Styela clava: one gene and its partners. Each later gene encodes a partner of the first gene's protein in a complex. Links are inferred from orthologs where the notes say so. Each region holds a gene or a part of one and is shown on either strand. Other genes may lie near its edges.

The links. The genes of interacting proteins can lie anywhere in the genome.
Region 2: ruvB-like 1 (region 1) and histone acetyltransferase KAT5-like share a complex: the UniProt entries of both Homo sapiens proteins name them as parts of the SWR1-like complex. The link is inferred for Styela clava from reciprocal best matches to the Homo sapiens genes RUVBL1 and KAT5.
Region 3: ruvB-like 1 (region 1) and uncharacterized protein LOC144421013 share a complex: the UniProt entries of both Homo sapiens proteins name them as parts of the PAQosome complex. The link is inferred for Styela clava from reciprocal best matches to the Homo sapiens genes RUVBL1 and PFDN6.

The regions. Positions count from the first base shown.
Region 1 is NC_135256.1:5,659,080-5,666,709, reverse strand, and holds the start of ruvB-like 1, read right to left. Parts: upstream 3,016-7,630; 5' UTR 2,904-3,015; coding exon 2,763-2,903; intron 566-2,762; coding exon 437-565; intron 1-436. Other genes in the region: uncharacterized protein LOC120328125, read right to left, coding at 6,013-6,208, 6,551-6,703. UniProt on the Homo sapiens protein: Possesses single-stranded DNA-stimulated ATPase and ATP-dependent DNA helicase (3' to 5') activity; hexamerization is thought to be critical for ATP hydrolysis and adjacent subunits in the ring-like structure contribute to the ATPase activity.
Region 2 is NC_135257.1:5,468,861-5,476,661, forward strand, and holds the start of histone acetyltransferase KAT5-like, read right to left. Parts: upstream 3,003-7,801; 5' UTR 2,586-3,002; coding exon 2,568-2,585; intron 1,658-2,567; coding exon 1,594-1,657; intron 1,000-1,593; coding exon 931-999; intron 724-930; coding exon 584-723; intron 413-583; coding exon 314-412; intron 1-313. UniProt on the Homo sapiens protein: Catalytic subunit of the NuA4 histone acetyltransferase complex, a multiprotein complex involved in transcriptional activation of select genes principally by acetylation of nucleosomal histones H2A and H4.
Region 3 is NC_135252.1:15,383,325-15,388,897, reverse strand, and holds uncharacterized protein LOC144421013, read left to right. Parts: upstream 1-4,543; 5' UTR 4,544-4,548; coding exon 4,549-4,932; 3' UTR 4,933-5,068; downstream 5,069-5,573. Other genes in the region: chaperone Ric-8A-like, read left to right, coding at 1,635-3,338; uncharacterized protein LOC120343245, read left to right, coding at 5,069-5,573. UniProt on the Homo sapiens protein: Binds specifically to cytosolic chaperonin (c-CPN) and transfers target proteins to it. Binds to nascent polypeptide chain and promotes folding in an environment in which there are many competing pathways for nonnative proteins.

The sequences.
Region 1 (7,630 bases):
GAAAAATAAGTTTTTGACAGATTTCTAAATGCAATTCTGTAAGTTTTTCTTCCGGTTTAAATAAGATAAATTACTTGGAGTAAGATCAGAAGATAAGTACAATACTCATTTTGATTTCCCTGGAACATAAAACCATGCAAAACAACACAATAAACACACACTAAATTGAGAAAATCGGGAAAACTGGCAAAACCTCATTTAAGGTTTATTAAAACACGTAGAAACACATGTGTATACCCATATTACACACACAAACAAATATCTTAAAAAATATAAAAAACACAAATGCGTGTCGCTCGGGCATCTAACTTTGGTAACATAAACACACTGCAGACACGGGGATTCCAATTTAAAACTGCTTATATAAGATAGATACTGACTATATCCAATTTGAATTTAGTCCTTTGTAAGACATTACTGCAAAGCAAGAACAAACCTTGTTTCCAAGTTCTTGTGCGATGGCCAAAGCAAGAGCTGTTTTCCCAGTTCCAGGCGGTCCAGCTAGCAGAATTCCTCGTCCAGCCATTTTCTTACTTCTAATCAACTCCACAACAATGCCGCATGCCTGAAAGAAATCAAGTATGACAATATAATAGCAGAATGATGGTTTTGTATCAGCATATGTCAGTACGACACAGTTCGATGATTTCAAGAATAGATTGAACGACATCAATTATAACAGTGATTGCGAAGCCATCCTGAGCCTCCATATTGGCAAAAATCAACAAACAGGCACTGCGCAACAAACTAAAAGGAAGTGCAATCTGAAAATGTTACCATTGAAATCCTCGAAAAAAAAATAATGTGATTTACTGAAGGAAAACAAATTGTATCGTAGCATTCATGAGTTTTTAGCAAAAAACGCAATTTTGGTCATACTGCGATGTGACGGCCGAGGCACTTCGCGATTCATTTATGATTGAGATAAGCATGGCGCAATCTGACGTTGTGCCAGATGTCCTCGTTTCAGAGACAAATTGAGTTTTGTCTTATTGAACCAAATGTCCGGACAGAATCGGAAGACTGTGCCCGACTGTACCAGCAGAGAGAGTTTTTGACACTGCAAACCTTGCTAACCATTGAACCACCTGGTCACGGAGACTGTGATATAGCTAAACTTCAGTCTTCTCAATAAACCCATAGATCCAATATATACCGTAAAAGCGCCTAACTTCGGACAGTTTCTAACTTCGGACAAAATTTTTGAACGGCCATATCTTGGCTAAAACGCGCCGTATATTGCTAATTTTAATTATTATAGGTTGCGCTGTTATATCTACATCTATTCTCATCTTTTTTAATGTTGCATAAATATTTTTTTGGTGAAAAAACGGAAATTTTGCCGAAAATTGACTGCCCGGCATTCAACGGCGCAGAGCGTCGCTCATACTGAAGCTATCGTCGTCAAAATACCATCATTCGGTAGAGGGCGACAACAATGTATATAATTTATTTGAGTGATCGCAAGATGTCGTATGAGATTTAAATAAAACCTAAAATTCTGAATTATAAATTCCGTAAGAATATTAAGATTTCACGCAGCGTCAAAATTACGTCAACCTCACGTAGATTATTTTTCGCTCACTTCCGACACGACGTCACACTGCGTCGTGGAAATGAATTTTGACGCCAGACACAACGGAGCCAATATGACAATTTCCGTTAAGATAAAGACGGCATTCCAATGTAATATTTTTGTATTTTGTTCGGTCATGTATAAATATATGCCAAAATTACATTAATGAAAATACATGTCACACTTAATCGATGACGTTAGGAATCGAATATATAAAACTATGATAATTCCAACGTCCATATGGTACAGTGCACTGACTTAACCATTATTTTATGATTAGTAGTCGAAATGACAGTTATTGAATACGGCCTGGGTGAATTTTATTCACTCGAAATTAAAAATAAATTTAATCTCCAACAAATAAACGGGACCTACATGTTTACAAGATTAAGTTGAATTTCAAATTAAACTTTACAATCGGATTTACCGTGTGTTTGATATAAATTATCATTTATAAAGATAACCGCGCAGAATAAAAAAAAGCTATCCGTCGAGAATATTAATACTTCAAAGACTTCGATAGAAGCCCGTTGAAATACTTCATTGGGGATTGAAACGGTTTGCATCAGATATATTTACGTATGCATTTCCTGATTAAAATGACCATCGTGTTATTATACTCATCTGAAGTATCGAAAATAACGAACGAAAGATGTAAACATAGGACGACAGAAGTTTCAGATAATGCATTTTCGTCGTGATGTCAATGTTACGTTACGACGACGATCGAGCGTCTTATCTTCACGCAACGACGTGATTTCGCCATCCGCATCGGAAGCCTCTTTCTCTCTGTGCATCGCGGTTACGCAGTGAAGAAAATGACTGTCCGAAGTTAGGGCAGTGAAGGATAACGGTCAGATGGCAAGAAATATCGATTATTTTAATAGTAAAAATAGTCCAATTGAACCGAAATTTACAGGGAATGTAAATTATCCGCACGAATGTTTTACCGAGCAATTTTGGCACCGTTTGGACAATAAATGGCCGAGTTATTGACAAAAATATAGTAATTTTGTCCGAAGTTAGGCGCTTTTACGGTAACCAAAGTCATCAATTGCTACTTGTTCAGAGCCTTATTTACAGTAAAGATAACACTTAGATAACAGGCAATCGCAGAACAAATAAATGAAAAGATATTGTTGGAATTGCAGTAATAATTAGCAATGTGCGAATAAAAATATTTTACCTCTCTGGCATCTTCTTGGCCAACGAGACCCGATCCTGTCTGAAGAGGTTTACCGTCATCTGATAATCCCAGTCCTTTGACATGAGTATGCGCTGCAATCCGCTGTGTCTTTGTAGTACTCTTAACCTCCTCAATTTTCATATTATATGATTTATGTTATCAAAATTTGCTTGAATTATAGACAGAGCCAGAACGCGGAACAAGGAAACGACGCTTTACAAAGTGAGCATTGAAGAAATACAAGCGTGCGCCCGTTGACGAAGCCAGCCAAGCATGTCGTGATTTATTGCGTTATTAGCAACCGAAGAAATTTCTAGTCTTCTCATTACCAATATATTTAATTCTAATTATTAAAAAAACTTCTAAACATTTTTCTTATCCGTAATGAACAATTTTAAAATACAGAAATCTTTGTAAACTGATTGGCCTGATATCTTTATTGTTTTATCGTATTTTTGTGATCGCTGATGTGTCTTGACGGGAAATCGAAATAGTGTAACCTCATTCTGATCTCAACTTCACTTATAAGTTATAAGTTATAAGTTTATTTCGACTCCATAATCAGCAATAGACGATAAAAAAATATATAAAAACAAAAGTAAAAGTAACTGATTATAGAATCGGGAAAGCGAACAAAACCTAAAACTTCTGCTCAAATGAGCCGTTATATAGAATAAATAAAACATCAAGTCCAAAGTGTACATTTTGTGATATGCAAAACAAAACAAAACTTCTGCTCAAATGAGCCGTTATATAGAATAAATAAAACACCAAGTCCAAAGTGTACATTTTGTGATATGCATGTCGAAACTGTGTTACCATTATTTTATTTCTGTGAATCTGTGCAGTAATTTTGGGTGATAGTTATGGCTAAACTTTGAGTATGGATTGAACCTTAAAATTTGAAACATAATGAAATTGTATTGGGGGTATCCAATAATAATATTAATAATAAAAAAACTTTTTTGAAAATCAATAAGTCTTTTTTGTAAATTAATGGGAAAATAACGAACAAAGTAAAAAGCCTTCTCCGTAGTAAAAGAGCTTCGCAAAACAACGTTATCTGCAATAGCAGAATTTCGGTTTATTCCCAATTGGAATGACCCCACTACGGATGCCAATAATGTTGATTTTTCTTCTATTATAGGTTTTTGTTATCTTTCGAATTTAGAAGATTTGAACGAGCGACTAATTAGTATAAAATGAGATAATGCATTTAAACTTATTTTGAAGGTTTTGTTCATTTCCCAGATTCTTCAAATGTGTTTCGTTTTATTTTAGCGAATCTGCATTGAAATAGATCAGGGATGGCGAACCACTGACCCGCGGGTCACAAAGTGACCCACTGCGTTTTATTTGTGACCCGCCAAGCGAAGGCACGAATAAAATTAAAAAAAATGCTAACATATCAGTGATAAAAATTGATAAAACCGGCCTTAAATTAATCTAACAATAGCTAAACTATTATAATGTACCGTCAATTGGACAGTCAGGAAGGGCTGCGATCGCTCAAGTTCAAAATGTTGATTTTTGGGCCGGTATGGTAATTTTCAAAACCCCTAATCTTGTACGCATGTATGCACCGCTGTGTACCGTTATTCAGCTATTGGGCCTGACATCGTTTATGACATAACAATGCAATTGATCTGTTCATTTCTCGCAACGCCTGTCTTTTTTGGAATTGCATCTGCAGACTGTTTTAGGGGTTATACGAGAACTAGATGCTACTTTGCATTTTATTAGTTTCTCGTCTACAATGCTGTTGTGAAAACAAAAACTTTCAGTCTTGAAATAAAAATCTAGAAATCTGATGAAACAATGGGGCAGTGTAAAAGTGGCTTAATGTGGTTGAAAGCTGATCGAAAATTATAACGCTATCAAAGCGGAATTACCTCCAAACACTAGAACCGTAGAATAATTTAACGCATCATCCTAAACGTTTTCGTGTTTTCGTACTCTAATATCATAAAACCGAGTGCCATGAAAAGTCCCTGATAGAAGTGCTGCATAAGTAAAGCCCAAAACTACACCAACACCAGCTTATAAGATTTGTTTCAGAAGTTTCTTATAGATACAAACGTGAATTAAATATCTGTGACCCACTCTCTTCTGTTCCACGATAAAATTATAATTTTTGACCCATTCATTGAAAAAGGTTCGCCATCCCTGAAATAGATCATCTAAAAACCTACGGTATCCCTGACTGAACGCTGATTGAGGTAAAAATTTCAATACTCCCCTGTCTAAACACCATCAAAGAATGCAACATAAAGATTAGCTACCATGTTTTGTTATATCAATCATTTTCTTTGCATAACTGTATATATGATGCATCTCACCATCTGGTATATATGATGGGATACAGAACTATCGCTATACGCGCCATCGGCTGGAAACAGGACGAGAGGTTGAAAATATTATTAAGCTCGGCGGTGAGGCGTAATGTGCTAAGCGTTAGGAGTACGCTTGCCACGGCACAGCACCTCTGATTACCCTGCGTAGGTTCGCATCCCGTGGGTGATAATTATGTGGGAGAGGGTTGCTGGACTCCTCGAGGGCATAGGGTGGTTCACGTAACCGCTGGTCGGATTCCTCCACCAAGTTCATGCATCTGGAAGCAAAATAACTGGCTAACTAATTCCATACCTGACATTGGCGCGGCGGTGTGGCTCAACGGGCTAAGCGTTAGGAATACGCTGGCCACCGCACCTCTAATTACTCTGCGTGGGTTCACAGGTTCGAATCCCATGCAGGGATGGTTATGTGCGAGAGGATTGCTGGACTCCTCGCCGTCGTTGGGTGGTTCACGTAACCGCTGGTCGGTTACGGCTTCATCCACCACCAAGTCCATGCTTCCGAAAACAAACAATACAGTAAAACTAATCCCATACCCGACTTGGAATGGTAACCGGACGAGAGGCCGTGGTTCGTCATATAGATAAGCCGTCTTATCGGCTTTCCTCTCCCCGGGATAAATATGTAAATCCTATCCTATGGACTGGTAACCGGACCTGACATCGTGGTTAACCATATGATTAAGTTGTCTTAACGGCTTTCCCCCTGCCCGGATTAAATATGTAAACCCTAAGCCGCCTTGTTAGCTTTCCTGTCCTCTGGACGAATATCAGAATGGTGCTCATTTATAGAAACAAACGTCTTACATATTTTTTACCTGTTTGCGTATATATTATATTCATCTACATTCAATACCAGCATCGAAAAATAAAAGCAAAACGTTAAAAAACTCGAATTAGATTTCGTAAATATTTAAATGAATCTTTGAAAATTTCTTTGGTTCGACTGTTTCATCTCGACATAAAATATCATCTTTTCCATCTCCGTTTGCATCAACGACGTAAACTTTCCAATTACTATCAACACAAAGATTGCCGATCATCACCGGATCTTTGGGTTCTCCACGTCGAATTGGGAAGAGTATCATGTCTCTGAAAAAAGTTTTTTATTTGAGAGACATAAATAATGTTCTTTTTCAATTCTTCCAAAATTATCATTCATTTGTGTGTTGGGAGAATTTAAAAAACTTAACACATAAGGACACAAAATAAGGTGTGATCATAATTATATCTCGTCCTGCTTCCAGTATAAAATGGGTTGTGATCTATTTCAGTGTTTCACAACCTAAATATGTAAATCCTCTCCTAGCCTAAAGGTTGGGAGCCACTGACCTATTCTCTACCACCACAGGATCAATAACCAGGCGTGGGACTGTGGTCAACATTTCACAATGAATAAATGGAATTTCATCTTTAATCCAAGACACCACTTACGTTTCGACACCATCTACTGCAACACATAGGACATCAGTTGTTCCATCTCCATCAAAATCTCCAGTGTGTAAACTTTTTAAAATGCAATTATGTAACTTCCCTTCCCAAGATATTTTATCAAGTCTGTTGCCTCGGCCGGCTAGTACTATCTTTCTGAAATAACAATGATTAGTTATCAATATTATTACAGTTTGGTTGAACAACATGATTCTAAATATGTTGAAAGTACAAGACTGCATCTCTATCTACAAGACTCTATGAATAATTTTATTGGCACTCCAGAAGTATGTTTACCAATATGGATATAACTAATTTTGTTCGCCTACTTTACATCAAGTTGTGTAAAGGGACTGAAGCCTATGGACAGGTGAGGGGGTATATTCTATTGGCTCACACATACAGTCCCGGAACTTCGCAGGGTCTTCCTATCTCTAGAAAAATAACGTTTTTAAACCTTCAACGAAAGCGAAGATTAGACTTAGATTGCAGAATGTCAGAGACGTGAGGCATTGCTTACAATCTGAATATTTTATGCCGCAAATGAATTTTTTTTAAGCAGTTCCATTTCCACAATCAACTTTGATTTCCATAATTATCGAATAGATATTGTGGGCCTGAATGCTTTATGTAGTTGAATAGAAGCTCACTTTGAAATTTCAATAGACACTAGGAAGGAAGGTTTGACTAGAGCTTGTGTCGGAATTGATTTAACTGAACCCGGGTTGAAGAAAAAATTCTTGATAACACTTATCTGGGACTCATTTTTTGAATGGCTTGAAGTCGGAATTGGATGAAACTTGTCTTTGACTCTACTGTCCCGATTCACATATTCATCTCGGGGCGAGGGAAGCCGATAAGACTGCTTAATCATATGGCGAACCACAATCTATCGTCCATGTCGGATATGGAATAAGTCAGTCAGTTATTTGTTTTCGGAAGCATGGACAGGATGGTGGAAGTAGCCGCAATCGACCAGTGGTTACGTGAACCACCCTGCAGAGGCAAGGAGTTCAGCAATACTCTCGCACATAACTAAATGGGATTCAAACCTGCAATCCTCGCAGAGTAATCAGAGGTGCT
Region 2 (7,801 bases), on another chromosome or scaffold:
TTCATCCATGAGCACTGGTTTGGAAATAAATTTGCTCAGCCACAAAAAAAATCGCTCACACAGAAGATTCAGCGCTCCCGTAGTATGTGCAACAAGATGGCAGACACCTGAACATAGTATGTGTACGAGGTTAGGGTTAGGCCATAATTTTATTCCAATTTTCCTTATTTTAGTTATATTACAAGTTCGGGGACTAGCCAAGTGACTCCTGTAGTATTTGTACCTGAAATTATGGCCTAACCCTGATACACATACTACGTTCCGGTGTCTGCCATCTTGTTGCCCATACTACGGGAGTACCAAAGATTCTTACCTCTTCTGGTCCCATTTCAGGTCCTTTTCTCTTTCTTCCTATCTTTGGCATCTTTTTAATTGCTGCCGTAACTTTTGAAGGATGCGCAGTTCCATTTTGCTGAAAAAGAAATCACAAACTTGAACTGAGAGAAAAATTGAAAAGCAGCAAACAGCATTCCCATCCTCACGTTTCACATTCACACAAAAGTTCAGAAACAGTAGTCGAGCATAGAATGCCCACAAAAGCAACATTCGATTATCTATTTGTATTCCATTAAAAAGTACTTACAACAACAATTTCCCTATCAGGACTATTATGGACAGAGTCACTGCTTCTTTTGGTTCCTATTTTTGTATCTTTCTTTGGAAATTGAATCTTTGACATGTCAAGTCGTTCTGCAGCAACCCACTCATCCAATCTTTTATTAACTATCAAAAATGAAAAGATATTATGAAATTTCCATTCACTCCTACATAGTAAAAATGCAACTATATAGGTCAGCTGTTATTTTCCAGATAATTGAGGAAAAAATCTATTGATGAACATAGATGGAACTTAATATTTCTATATATGTACATAGTATTAGAATAATGCATCAGCCAGTCATGCAATGTTGATATTTACACAAAACTTACAGTCAATATAGTGAACATAATATTCAAATTTGTTGTTAACATCTCGAATACTGAGAACTTCTGCCAGATCTGAAATACAAATAGAGACATTTAAAAAGGGTTGCAACTTACTCATACACACTTTATGAAAGAAGAGAAAACATTATGAAAAAATATCATAGTGCCCTATATACACTGTAAAAGTTTAAATGCGGGAGGTTTATCAAGCTTTGGAATGAAATGACAAATCAAGACTCAGAATATTTTGAAAAATAGTTCTTCGCCAAAATCTGCTGGACTAAAAAGTGATTAAATCAAAATAGATAACATAATATTTTATCACCAATATTGAAACTTGTATTTTGTACCAATGTTTTTAGGTATAGAATTGATATACAAACTTTTCGCGCCACACATGTTTTGCCTCGTGGACCTTTTCAACCAGATTTGAGAGTTGTCCAAAAATAATAATATAATATATAAATACATGTAGATGCAGTGAATAAATTTATGAATGTTTGTGTAAGTCATTACTCAAATCGTCATAATGCCATCTGATTGGGAAGGTCCGAGGAGTGAAAGTCTGAGGCAAAAAGTTTGTAGGCTATTCAACTTCAAGTGTAATCAGCATAATATTATAGTGTTACTGAATTTAAATAACATCCAATTAAAAAAATATCTTACGCCACTCAAATTGACCCTCCAGGTCTCTCTGAACAGGCATTCGACAGCCTTCGATAACACCAGCCTTTAAAAAAATAGTATTGATTAATATTTAGATACGAGAAGCTTATTGAAAACTTTGATCACAAAACTCAATTCATTTTTAAGTAACTTTAGTCAATCCAGACCATCAGATGATTGGAATACAGCATGGTTTCTCAAACTTTTTGAGCGGCGGACCCCTATTTGTTTATCTTAGTTTTGATGAATCCTATACTGTATACTGTATCAATTTCTGTGCCTAACCAACGAAAAAGGATAATGTTTCATTTACAGCACAAACGGCATTAATGTCTGTAATTTGCTGATGTGATGGATGAAGTTGCGTTTCACTGCACAATTCAGCAATTTATCGATTCTCGGAGCAATTTGTGACGAGCAAGTTCGTAGATCCGACTCTAGGGCAAGTCTCGACCTGTATTTTGTCATCATATTGGTAAGAGCTGAAAATACTGCCACACATGTCTGCATGTAGGTCTTTGCAAAAGGCAATATGACCTTTAATTGCCTTTTCTAACAGCAATATGCGTACGCAGCGTTCAACCAAGTGCAATGGCTTTTTCTTTGACATCAATCCTTAACGATCAGACTCTTGTCATGTCATTGTGAACCCCCTGTGCAGTCATCACGGACTCCCAGGGGTCCGCGAACCCCAGTTTGGGAAACCCTGGAATACAGGACTATCTGACCATGAATATACTTATAAGAGTAAACAGGGTCCGTTCATAAGAAAGGATAGAAATATGCAATGTGCTGAAGTTTTCTCGAACACGTTTGAGACTGAATAGAATTTACTAATTATGGTACCAGTAACGTTACAGCAGTACAGGTAATATCGTAAACTGTACAGGTATGATTCAAATGTTGAACTTCAACATTTGGATTATAAAGCTAACTCCTAAATATACCAGTACCGTAAATAAATACAACCATACCTTCATTCCTTGTGACATATTCCGTACGACGCCGTTCCAATATCGCTCTAGGCTACTTGTTTTTAACCGGTGCGACCAGCGATGCAGTTATTATGAAACTGCTTCGGGAAAACACCACTTTATATATCGCTGTCACGTGAATACCTCGACATGGATAATTCGGCATTATCGGGTAAGATTTACAAAACAAAAGAGAGAGAGAGAGAGGAAATTTTTTGATTCGTCAACCAAAACAAATATAAATGGAAAATATAAAAATTGTACAAATCCTACCGGTGCTGTAAGCGCGAACTCAACTAACCCACCGTATTACATTTCCGGAACGTCTTTTGGAAAACAACACTTTATAACGTTTGTACTTAGGTCCTCCATATGAATAACTCGTCTAAAACAGGATCATGAGTTATTCGTCTTTCAATACCACATTCACAGCGAAAATAATTATCCTAAACGACTCTGATAGGATGTGGTTCAACCTTTACGATTACGAGCCTGTCGAACGCCTACGATATTCTGCGAGCCTCCCGAACCCCTGCGATATTCTGCGAGCCCCCGTCGAACCCCAACTTTGGAATCCGAAAGATAATAAGTCAAAAACGTTAGCAGCTCAAGTCATTCGTTTTCAAACTGCATTGAAATATTGGATAATAGCTTTTGTCAAATGGTTCACAGAAATAGAAATACTATATATACGTATACCGTGTTTTCCCGAAAATAAGACAGGGTCTTGTTTCAATTTTCTTTCGAAAAATAACACTAGGGCCTATTTCGGGGGGTGTCTTCCATTTTCATATATTCGAGTTTTCGCGAATTGCCTCCCAGATTGGTTACGTCCGATCTGAAATATTCTGGCCTCACCATAAATAGTTGCTCTATAAATACATTTGATTCTTTTTTTTTCCCGAAATAGATACTTATCTAAAGATTTGTTCCAAGAAAAGAAATATAAATATTTATTATAAAGTATGTTGCAACATGTACATTATAGCGAAATTTCAAATCCAAAAATGAACCAATATATATATACCGGGAGGAGTGCACCATCATGGTTTGATTAATTGATTGGAAAAAATAAACTTGACTTGACCTAAACACTTTAGATGAAATTTTACTTTGAGAAAAATAAACAGAGACAACACTTGAATTTATTTCATTTGAATTGATTTATTTTTACAAAATTAGTACAGTATATATATATGAGCAGTGGCGGCGCGTCAATAGGGCCAACCGGGGCAATGCCCCGGTTGTTTTTTCGGTATAATAAAAAATATTCGAAAAATACCTCAATATCGGTTGCACAGACTGTCTACACTAGCCATATTCTCCCGACATGGTTCATTTTTCGCTCGCAAAGCCTTCGCCGAACGTCGACGGGGCGACGCCGATTTTGCCCCGGTTGCTCATTGTATATCGTATTCTCTCTTTTATCTTCCACTCGCCGCGTTTGTCTCGTTTGTTTTTCTGTTTCTTTTACTAAATCATCGGGGCCGATCGGGGCTAGCCCCGAAATTATGACGACACAATGCCGACGTTTCTTACTACAACGTGTTGACATATTCACGCATTCCTTCTCGTTCGTTGGTTGCTTGAAGAGTTGATAGTTTCCTCGCCTTCGTTTTTGTCGCTTGTTTCGCTATTTGAATCAGTTAGAGACCTTTAGTCCATTTGCTTTCGATTTTCCACATTCCTTTTGAGCTCCTCACTTCTTTCCGGCTTCGCATTTCTTAGCCTTAGACCTCATAATGAATAAGGTTGATGCACTACTTCGCACTCCGTTTTCGCAGCTGCCGCTGGAACAAAAATTAGAGGTACAACGTCAACGTATTGGGCCTTATCAACCAAAAAATTGTTCACTGGAACAATCCCATGACGGAGGAAAGCGTCGGCGTACATTCTGCGCAGAAACTTGGTATAAAAAACACGAATGGTTGTGTTACAGCGAGGACAAAAATGCACTTTTTGGTTTTTATTGCCTACTTTTTGCTACCGCCCGTGACTCACGTTGGTGTAAATTTGGTTTTAGAGATCTTAAACATCTTTCCGAGCGTGCCAGGGATCATCAATCTTCTATGGAGCATCTGGACAATGCAGTAAAATACCGAACATTCGGAAATGTTAATATTGCAGCACAGTTGGATGAAGGACGCGCGGTTTCTATTCGTCGGCACAACCAAAACGTCGAGAAAAACCGCCATGTTCTCGGTCGATTGATAGATGTTTTGAAGTTCATTGGTTGTCACGAGCTGTCCCTCCGTGGGCACGGTGAACGGGCTGGCTCTTCTAATAGAGGGGTATTTTTGGATATGGTGGAATACACCGCATCCCTAGATACAGTATTGAGAGATCATCTTGATGCCGCAACTGTTTCGAAAGGGACATCTAAGGATATCCAAAATGTTTGCTCGACTCAATGTATAAAATTTATTTACAACATTTGGCTCTGGAAATTGAGAATTGCCAGTTCCTTTCGATTCAGTCCGACGAGACAACTGACATCACGTGCGTTTCCCAACTGGCTGTGATTTTTCGGTTTGTGAAAGATGGTAAACCTACCGAGAGATTTCACAGCTTTGTACCAATCGTTGATCGCACGGCTTGCGGGATATCGGCTGTACTGAAAGAAGTGTTACAGCCTTACAACGCGAAGTCAAAATTGATAGCTCAAACTTATGACGGCGCGGCAGTCATGAGTGGGTCGAAACATGGTGTTCAAGTTTATATAAAAGAAGATTTTCCTCATGCGCATTTTTTACATTGTTATGCACACCCATTTAACCTCGTTATTAAAAATATGTGTCTTGATACCCCTCTCGTCCGTATATTTTTAGCAAATGTTTCGGGGTTTTCTTCATTTTTTTCCGTTTCGCCGAAGCGCTCTGACCTCCTTCGCCAGATATGTAGCCGCCGTCTCCCAGCTTGTGCACCAACACGTTGGAACTTCCAATCACGCGTGGTGCAGGGCGTGTCCGAAATTAGGTCTGAGCTCATTGAGTGTTTCAATGGCATTCAGAGCTCTCCGGTTTGGGACGAACGCTCTGTGAGGGAGGCGGCAGGTCTAAAGCGTCTGCTAGAAGATGGTGAGTTTTCATTTTTTTCTCCACAATATTCTATCACGTGGATGTATTATACGGCGCATTGCAGTCAAGGCTAATGGATGGAGCGTCTGTGCAGTCGTGTATTTCAGACTTCTGCGATGCTGTATCTCGTATCCGGGAAACAATAAAATACGACGACACATGGAGTGCTTCTTTACGCGCGGGCAAACAACGCAGCGTTTGATTTTGTCTGCAAAGGAATGCTGTGACATTCTGGTGAATCAAATAGGCGATCGTCTGCGCACTGGACACCTTGCCGTGTTCTCTTTGATGAACCCCAAAAAATTTTCAAAATTTGCACGTCAATTTTCCATCCATTTGTTGGCTACTGTCTCCAAATGTTACCCCATGATAAACGTGGGTAAATTGGAAAATGAATTGCGATGTATATACATCAATCAAACTTTTTTGAACATCACATCAACTTGCGCGCTCTATAGGTTCCTCATAGATAACACTCTAGTAACTACCTTTGCGGCGTCTGCAAAATTTCTGGACATCTTTTTGACGACGCCTATTTCTTCCGCCGACGCAGAGCGAACATTCAGCACGCTGAAGCATATTAAAACGTATCTCAGAAACACAATGAAGCAAGATAGATTAAATTCCTTGGCTGTTTTATCCATTCACAGAGACGTTATTTCTGGGATGCATGACTTTAATCAGCGCGTTATTGAGCATTTTGCTTCCAAGAAACCGCGGCGTGTTGCATATATGTTCAAGCAGTAGAAGCCTAGCAGCATATATATCTATGAGTGAGCGACGCATGTCCTTATCTTTGCATTAACTTTCCTTTCTTCATAGTAACGTTTTAAACCTTATTTTAGGTTTTGTCTGCTTTCCCGAAGTTTCTGTTAATATGTCATTGTATTTATCTGGGTAAATATTGCCTTTCCTTTTGAATAAGGTTTCAAAATAAACTATGTCTATATTTATTAATCCCTTGACTTGGACCGGTTTTGCTCATCCTGTCCCCGTAGATGGGGGTGACTTGGTCCCGCAGTAGCTTGCCCCGGTTGTCAAAATGACCACGCGCCGCCACTGTATATGAGGTATTCTACTAGAAGGCTCTCTAATAAATTCAAACCATCAATTCAGGACGATATTGTTTTAATCGAAGAAATGGATATGTTTTTCGGCAACATTATGTATTTTTGTCAGCTTACACAAGAAGTTGGCGGCGGCGGTGTGGCTCAACGGGCTAAGCGTTAGGAATACGCTCGCCACCGCACCTCTAATTACTCTGCGTGGGTTCGCAGGTTCGAATCCCATGCAGGGATGGTTATGTGCGAGAGGATTGCTGGACTCCTCGCCGTCGTTGGGTGGTTCACGTAACCGCTGGTCGGTTACGGCTTCCTCCACCACCAAGTCCATGCTTCCGAAAACAAACAATACAGTAAAAACTAATCCCATACCCGACTTGGAATGGTAACCGGACGAGAGGCCGTGGTTCGCCATATGGATAAGCCGTCTTATCGGCTTTCCTCTCCCCCGGGATAAATATGTAAATCCTATCCTATCCTAAGTTTACGGCGTAAAAAATGATGCATGGAATGCGTTTAAAATAAGTATACGCCCAAATAGGAATTGGATATTTCATACTACGAGTGTCAGACAAACCGAAACTTGCAAATCTTCTTCATCCATATCATTTAGAAGCAAAAAATATGTAAATATATATATACCATATGCAAATTGTAAAGGTTCAGGCTAAAGTTGCATCATTGATAAATCAATAGATTCGGTTAGCCTACCTTAATCCCTAATTTAGATGTTCATATTAACTAGGATGTGCGCAGTGAAAACAAGTTAGTACTCATGTACGTGAAAAACAATTCATTAGAAAACAATTTATTAGTCTCATGTTTCCAACTTGACGGTTCTTGGACTTCTTGACGACGGTTTCAACAAAAAATGGTCATGCATCCCAGCTCAACGTTTTCACCGATTCATTCACAAGCTGCACTCGTGAAATTTTCGATGCAAACATTCGTAAACACGATTTTGGGTTTTCGGGCGTGAGTCAGTTGTTTTTATTTTGTGTTCTAGCAGATCAAAATGAACAACACTGCTTTAATTAACTCCGGTCGGACGTGTTTCATTCTATCCTCGATCCAGTCATGAATCCTTGCCCATTAG
Region 3 (5,573 bases), on another chromosome or scaffold:
CGTCTGGACCTTTTTATTTGGTGTGGGAGGAGGCTAGTTACTGAGTTACCGTATGGTGTCGGTACGGGTGCAGCCGGTATATTTAAAATTATCAAAATCTTTTTATTTAGTTGTATACCGTACCGGTACAGTTCTTCAGTACGTGACACACTTTATATATTCAGATTGTAATTACGGTACCGGTATTTTATAAAGGTCAGGCGATTGCCGTTGTTAAATTGAATACCGTACCGGTACCGGTATTGATTTCTAAACAGTGAGCAGCGAAGAAAAAATAATAAGTTTCCCGTATTAAAAAAATATGGCCAAGCTGGTTTTGTATGAAGTCTCCGATTACAGGATTAGTCTACCACATTTTGTGCTTTCAATTGCCGGACTCTGAGAGGTTCTGGTGCTGAGGTAAACGTGGATATATGTAATTTAGTAATCTGTGAGCGTTTAGGATGCCTTAACTTACCGTATAACACTGTCAGAACGCCAGCCCACACTCGTGTGACGCTAGCCCACACTCGTAGGATGCCAGCCCACACTCGTGTGACGCTAGCCCACACTCGTGAGACGCTAGCCCACACTCGTTTTTGACAGGCCATACTAGGGGTAACTGGTCCGTGCTTGGTATTGCATTTGCGCTGTGTATATCCAATATGGTCTCTATATTGTCATAGCCACCAAGTTTTTATGTATTAACGTTTATAAAGTGGTAAAATAGTTGGTTGACCCATTGACGTCAGGCTGAGTGTGGGCTGAGCGAGTGTGGGCTGGGGTAACTTTGGTACCGAAACTGCTTGAATAATCCCAAACAGAATGTGATGTGAAATTTTTTTTTTAAAGTCTGTCTAGGACGGAAATGAAATACTTGACAGATGCGTTTCTGCGTTTAGTTAAAATAAAATCCACTCGATTTTCAACTAAGCCAGTACAGCAGTATATTCCATATCATATACCAGTAGGGTATGGGCAGACTATGTCGTACTGTAAACTGAAATAGAGTACCATATACCAGTAGCGTTCTGACTCAACTTCTGTCCGAGACTACTTTTATTATAAAAAAATAATAAATATTGGACTTTATTTTTTTTACATCATGTTTTTTTTTTTGGTTGGCATTATTTAAAAACTTGCTCCGTGTACTTCGTTAGACTCCACGTGCCCCACACCACATATTTTTATCCCCATTGTTTATAGCGCAATAGTTCTGTACTTGGTATTCAAGAATTTTTCTCTGTCAGATTAAATTCATCCAGCAGTACGGTGCTTATAACTTTTAACATATTGCAGTATTCTGGTATAGAGAGATCAATAGTACTGAACTAGTTTCAATTACTTATTCATGTATTGGGTGGTGAAAAAATCTGATTAACTCATTCTTTACCACCCAGTCATTAATAAAAGATTTTATTTTGAATCACTCATTTGGTCTATTATTTATGTTTTGTGTTTCTGGTTAGTGGTTTAAAGAATAATTAAGTTGTTTATCTCTCACAATAGGTGTATACCTTATGTGTGAAAGGATTATTAAGAAATCCTCCTTTCATAATTATTCAATATACAACTGTTCAGATCATTACTTGTACTAAACTATACTATTACAGTATTAGTGATTTCCTTCATTTAGTGTGAACCACAGTCTGACAATGGAACCTATTAATGGATATCCTAATACTATATTATCTGAGAATGATACTGATAAATCATTAGAAGCATTAAAAAAGTTCAATGCAAAGAATAGTGGCGCTTTCATTTTTGGCAAAAATGACATGCAAGAAAGAAAACTATTTGTCTCACATTTATTGGATATTTTAAAGTCTTCTCTGGATGGTGAAAGCACCTCAGAATCTGAATATGTGGTGGAAAGCCTTTCTGCTCTAGTCGTAATGTCTAGAGATCATATGTCAATGAATGGAAGATTTTTGAATCGAGAAACATGGAAGATATTGACAGTGATTGCTGGATTACTGGATAAAAATGGGAAGGCAATGACGGTCATCGAAACGTCTAAGATACTGTTTACACTTGCTAGTAAATGTCTATGCAATATCATGTTCATTTCAAAAGATTCGCAAGGTTATTGTTGCGACGATGAACTTATAAAAGGCATTTTGCAACGTTTGAAATCTCTGGATCCCAAAGATGAATCAAATGATACTGAAGTTGAATTTTTAACACTTCGATTGCTGTTTCTCGTTTCTGTGCTCAATGTGCAAGCAAGAACAAAGATTATTGAAAACCACGAGGGTAGCCGAGTCTTGTTGGATTATTTGAATTCGAAATTGACATCATCAAAAAGAGTTGTTAAACCTACGCCATGTATCAGAGCTAGTATTTCTCCTGCACATGCAAAATCCTGTTGTGAAATATTAAGAACACTGTTCAATTTGAATCTGAAATATCGGCATGAAGAAAGTCAAGTAAAGGAAGAAAGAATTACTATTGAATTTGAAGATTTGACATCAGTTTGTCGTAAATTGTATTTGGTTCAAGCAGGTGATGACAAAGTTTTGACGGAGAAATTACATGGTGACGCAGGAAATTGTTTATACACTGTGCCCAGGTCTTGTTTACTTGATGATACGATAATTCCTTTAATTGACAAGTATGACCCTGATGATGTGTTTTCATACAATGGCGAAGACATCCCGCAATGGGAGGAAAGAGATCTCAGTGCTGTTTTGAATATTTTAAAAGAAGTTGAATTGAAGATTCACAATAAGTCATTGACAACTGAAAGCTTGCAACCTGTTCTTTCACTGCTGAGCCACATCAGTCGTACATCAAGATATGTCAGAAAATATTGCAAGAATTACGTTATCCCACCACGTAAGGATTTTGAGCATCGTCCTGAAGTTGGACCAGAATTTCGTAATAAATTGATAAAGCTTTTCACACATGCTAACACAGAAGTAAAAGCGGCTGCTGCTGATTTTGTATTTGTCTTGTGCAGAGAGAAGGTGGAGAGACTTGTTAAATACACTGGTTATGGAAATGCTGCGGGATTGCTTGCAAGCAGGGGGTTACTCGCAGGAGGCCAGGGAGACACTGTTTATTCTGATTGTGATTCTGACTCTGACACAGAAGAATATTTAGAAAATGCAGAGAAAATTAACCCCATTACTGGTCACATTCCACCTAATATTCCCAATCCGATGGAAGGTATGTCGGAAGAACAGAAAGAATATCTTGCTGTTCAATTAGCAAATCAGATTTCGAAATTGTCAAGTGATGATATTATCAAACCTGTATGTATCGATCCAGATACTGGTAATCTGGTTCCTTTTCAACAAAAAGTCCACAATATGCAATTACCAGAAGAGAAAGATTCTGATGAAGACATTGATTGAAGATTACAGATTGACATAATATAAGCTTTTGCAGCAAATTTTCTGAACTCATCTTCCTTTAAATAACTAACAAAATATTGCGATAGGAATGGAAGTTCATTATTTGAGAATAATTTGTCTTTATTATTATATCCTGGGTAAAACTTATGTTGTGTGAAATGCAAAACTAACCTCGAATAAAATTTTGGACACTATCTTTTGAGGCTGATATGCCAACCATTGGCACCTTGGAGGCATTCCTGTATCTTAGTCCAGCTTTAACTGTGATAGTTTTGAAGCAAATTGCTATATTTGTAAAAACATATTTCAAGTCTGTACATTTTTTAATGCATATATGTAATTGTGCCCGTCTGTTGCCCGTTTTCTCTTTTGTAATTCTATGTTTAATGAAATTTTATGCTGCATTCACCAAGTTATTTGTTTTGAGGGAATCATGTCTGTTTTAGTAATCGTTTCTTATGAATTTAGTTTTATTATTTGAATAAAAAAATTTTCTCTGACAGTTGTTTCAAAATAATATTCATGTCATTTCTTGCAATATATTAAGTCAATTAATGCGTCACGTATGCTACCAACTTTCCTAGAAAAATGCTTTTTAAGCTATATGGAGTACTAGAATTCTGTGTAGTGCATCGAGTATTTGCATTTTGTTGCGATATTAGATTAAGAACTAAATTCTGACATATCTTACACAATGTTAATTTCTGTATATTAGCCAGCTTCTGCAAAATACAATCATGATATGTATAAGTTGGCAAGATTTTTTGCTATATTTTGTATACAGTTATAACCTATTCTTTTGTAAGGTGTTGTTTGATCATTCGTTTTTGCCTAGTAGAGATTATTGTCCATGGGAGTCATTAAGTTTTTTTTTTTTTTTATGTTTATGTGTTGTATCATTGTTTGAAGTTTCAAATTACTCATTTTACAAATTGCTCAATAGAACAACATGGACAAAGATTACAGTCAAGCTCGCCATCAGTTAAAAAAATAACTTATCGAAGGATGATATTTCACTTTATGGGGTTATTTAAATGTGCAGTCTTTTCGAAATGGCTATATTGTGATGTTATGACTTATTTTCATTATATTCAATATATTCAGATGTTTTGCTGTTTTTCATCAATATTTTCTACATTTATGTATATATAGCTTCCACATGTTCTTCATGTAACGTATCTTTTTTGTATTTTTGTGATATTATAGCAGGATGGAAAAAGTTAATAAAAAAGTACAGCTAGAATTTCAAAGTCACGTTTCTGAATTGCAAAAAAATCAAAAAGCTATTGGCAAGTGTGTGAAACTACGACAACAGCTTGAAGCTCAACTTACAGAGAATACTCTCGTACAAAAAGAGTTGGATATTCTTGAAAGTGATGCCACTGTTTATAAGCTTACAGGTCCTGTATTGGTGAAGCAGGATTTGAATGAAGCAAAAGCGAATGTGAAAAAACGAGTTGATTATATTACAGAGGAATTTAAAAGACAAGAGAAAACAATTGAGGATTTGGAAAAGAAACAAGAGACAACAAGACAAGCATTAATGAAAATTCAAGCTTCGCTTCCAAAGCCAACTGGAAAACAAGTAGCATAGTAAACAGGATAATTTTAAAACTGAAATAAATTTGTAGTGAAATATATCCAATTTGGCTTACAACCACATTTTTTTTTTCAATTATAAATTTTTTGTGTTTGCTGCTAGAAATCTTCAAATTCAATCTATTTGAAGAATGAGGCTGGAAGAATACAGCACAATCTTTGACTTTATCAATTACCACAAATCTAATTGTCCAAGAACAGTTCTCTCTAATGTTATTTCAAACTTTGGGTCTCAATATCAATATCATACACTAATGAGTATATTTTTGACCTGTTTGCAACGAAAAGTGAAAATGACGTACCACTCAAAAATGAAAGAAGAGAAATTGAAATATTATTACAAATTATATAAAGAACGAATGAATATCTCACATCAAATGAATCATAAACAAAATGTAGTGAAAAGTAACAAATTACCCGCACAAAATATAGAACAAACCTCAAGTGAAATTGCAAAATTGTGCAATGGAAAAGAAGCGGTTTCGAATGGCACTGACAGTGGTTCTTCTGATGTAAATGGCAAATCTGTATTGATTGGTATTGCAAATGATTTCGAAATTCCACCTTGTTTAATGGCAAGAATTATTGTAGAGCAATACCTCATTGAAGAAAAAGCTTCTGCTAACAACAAAGAAA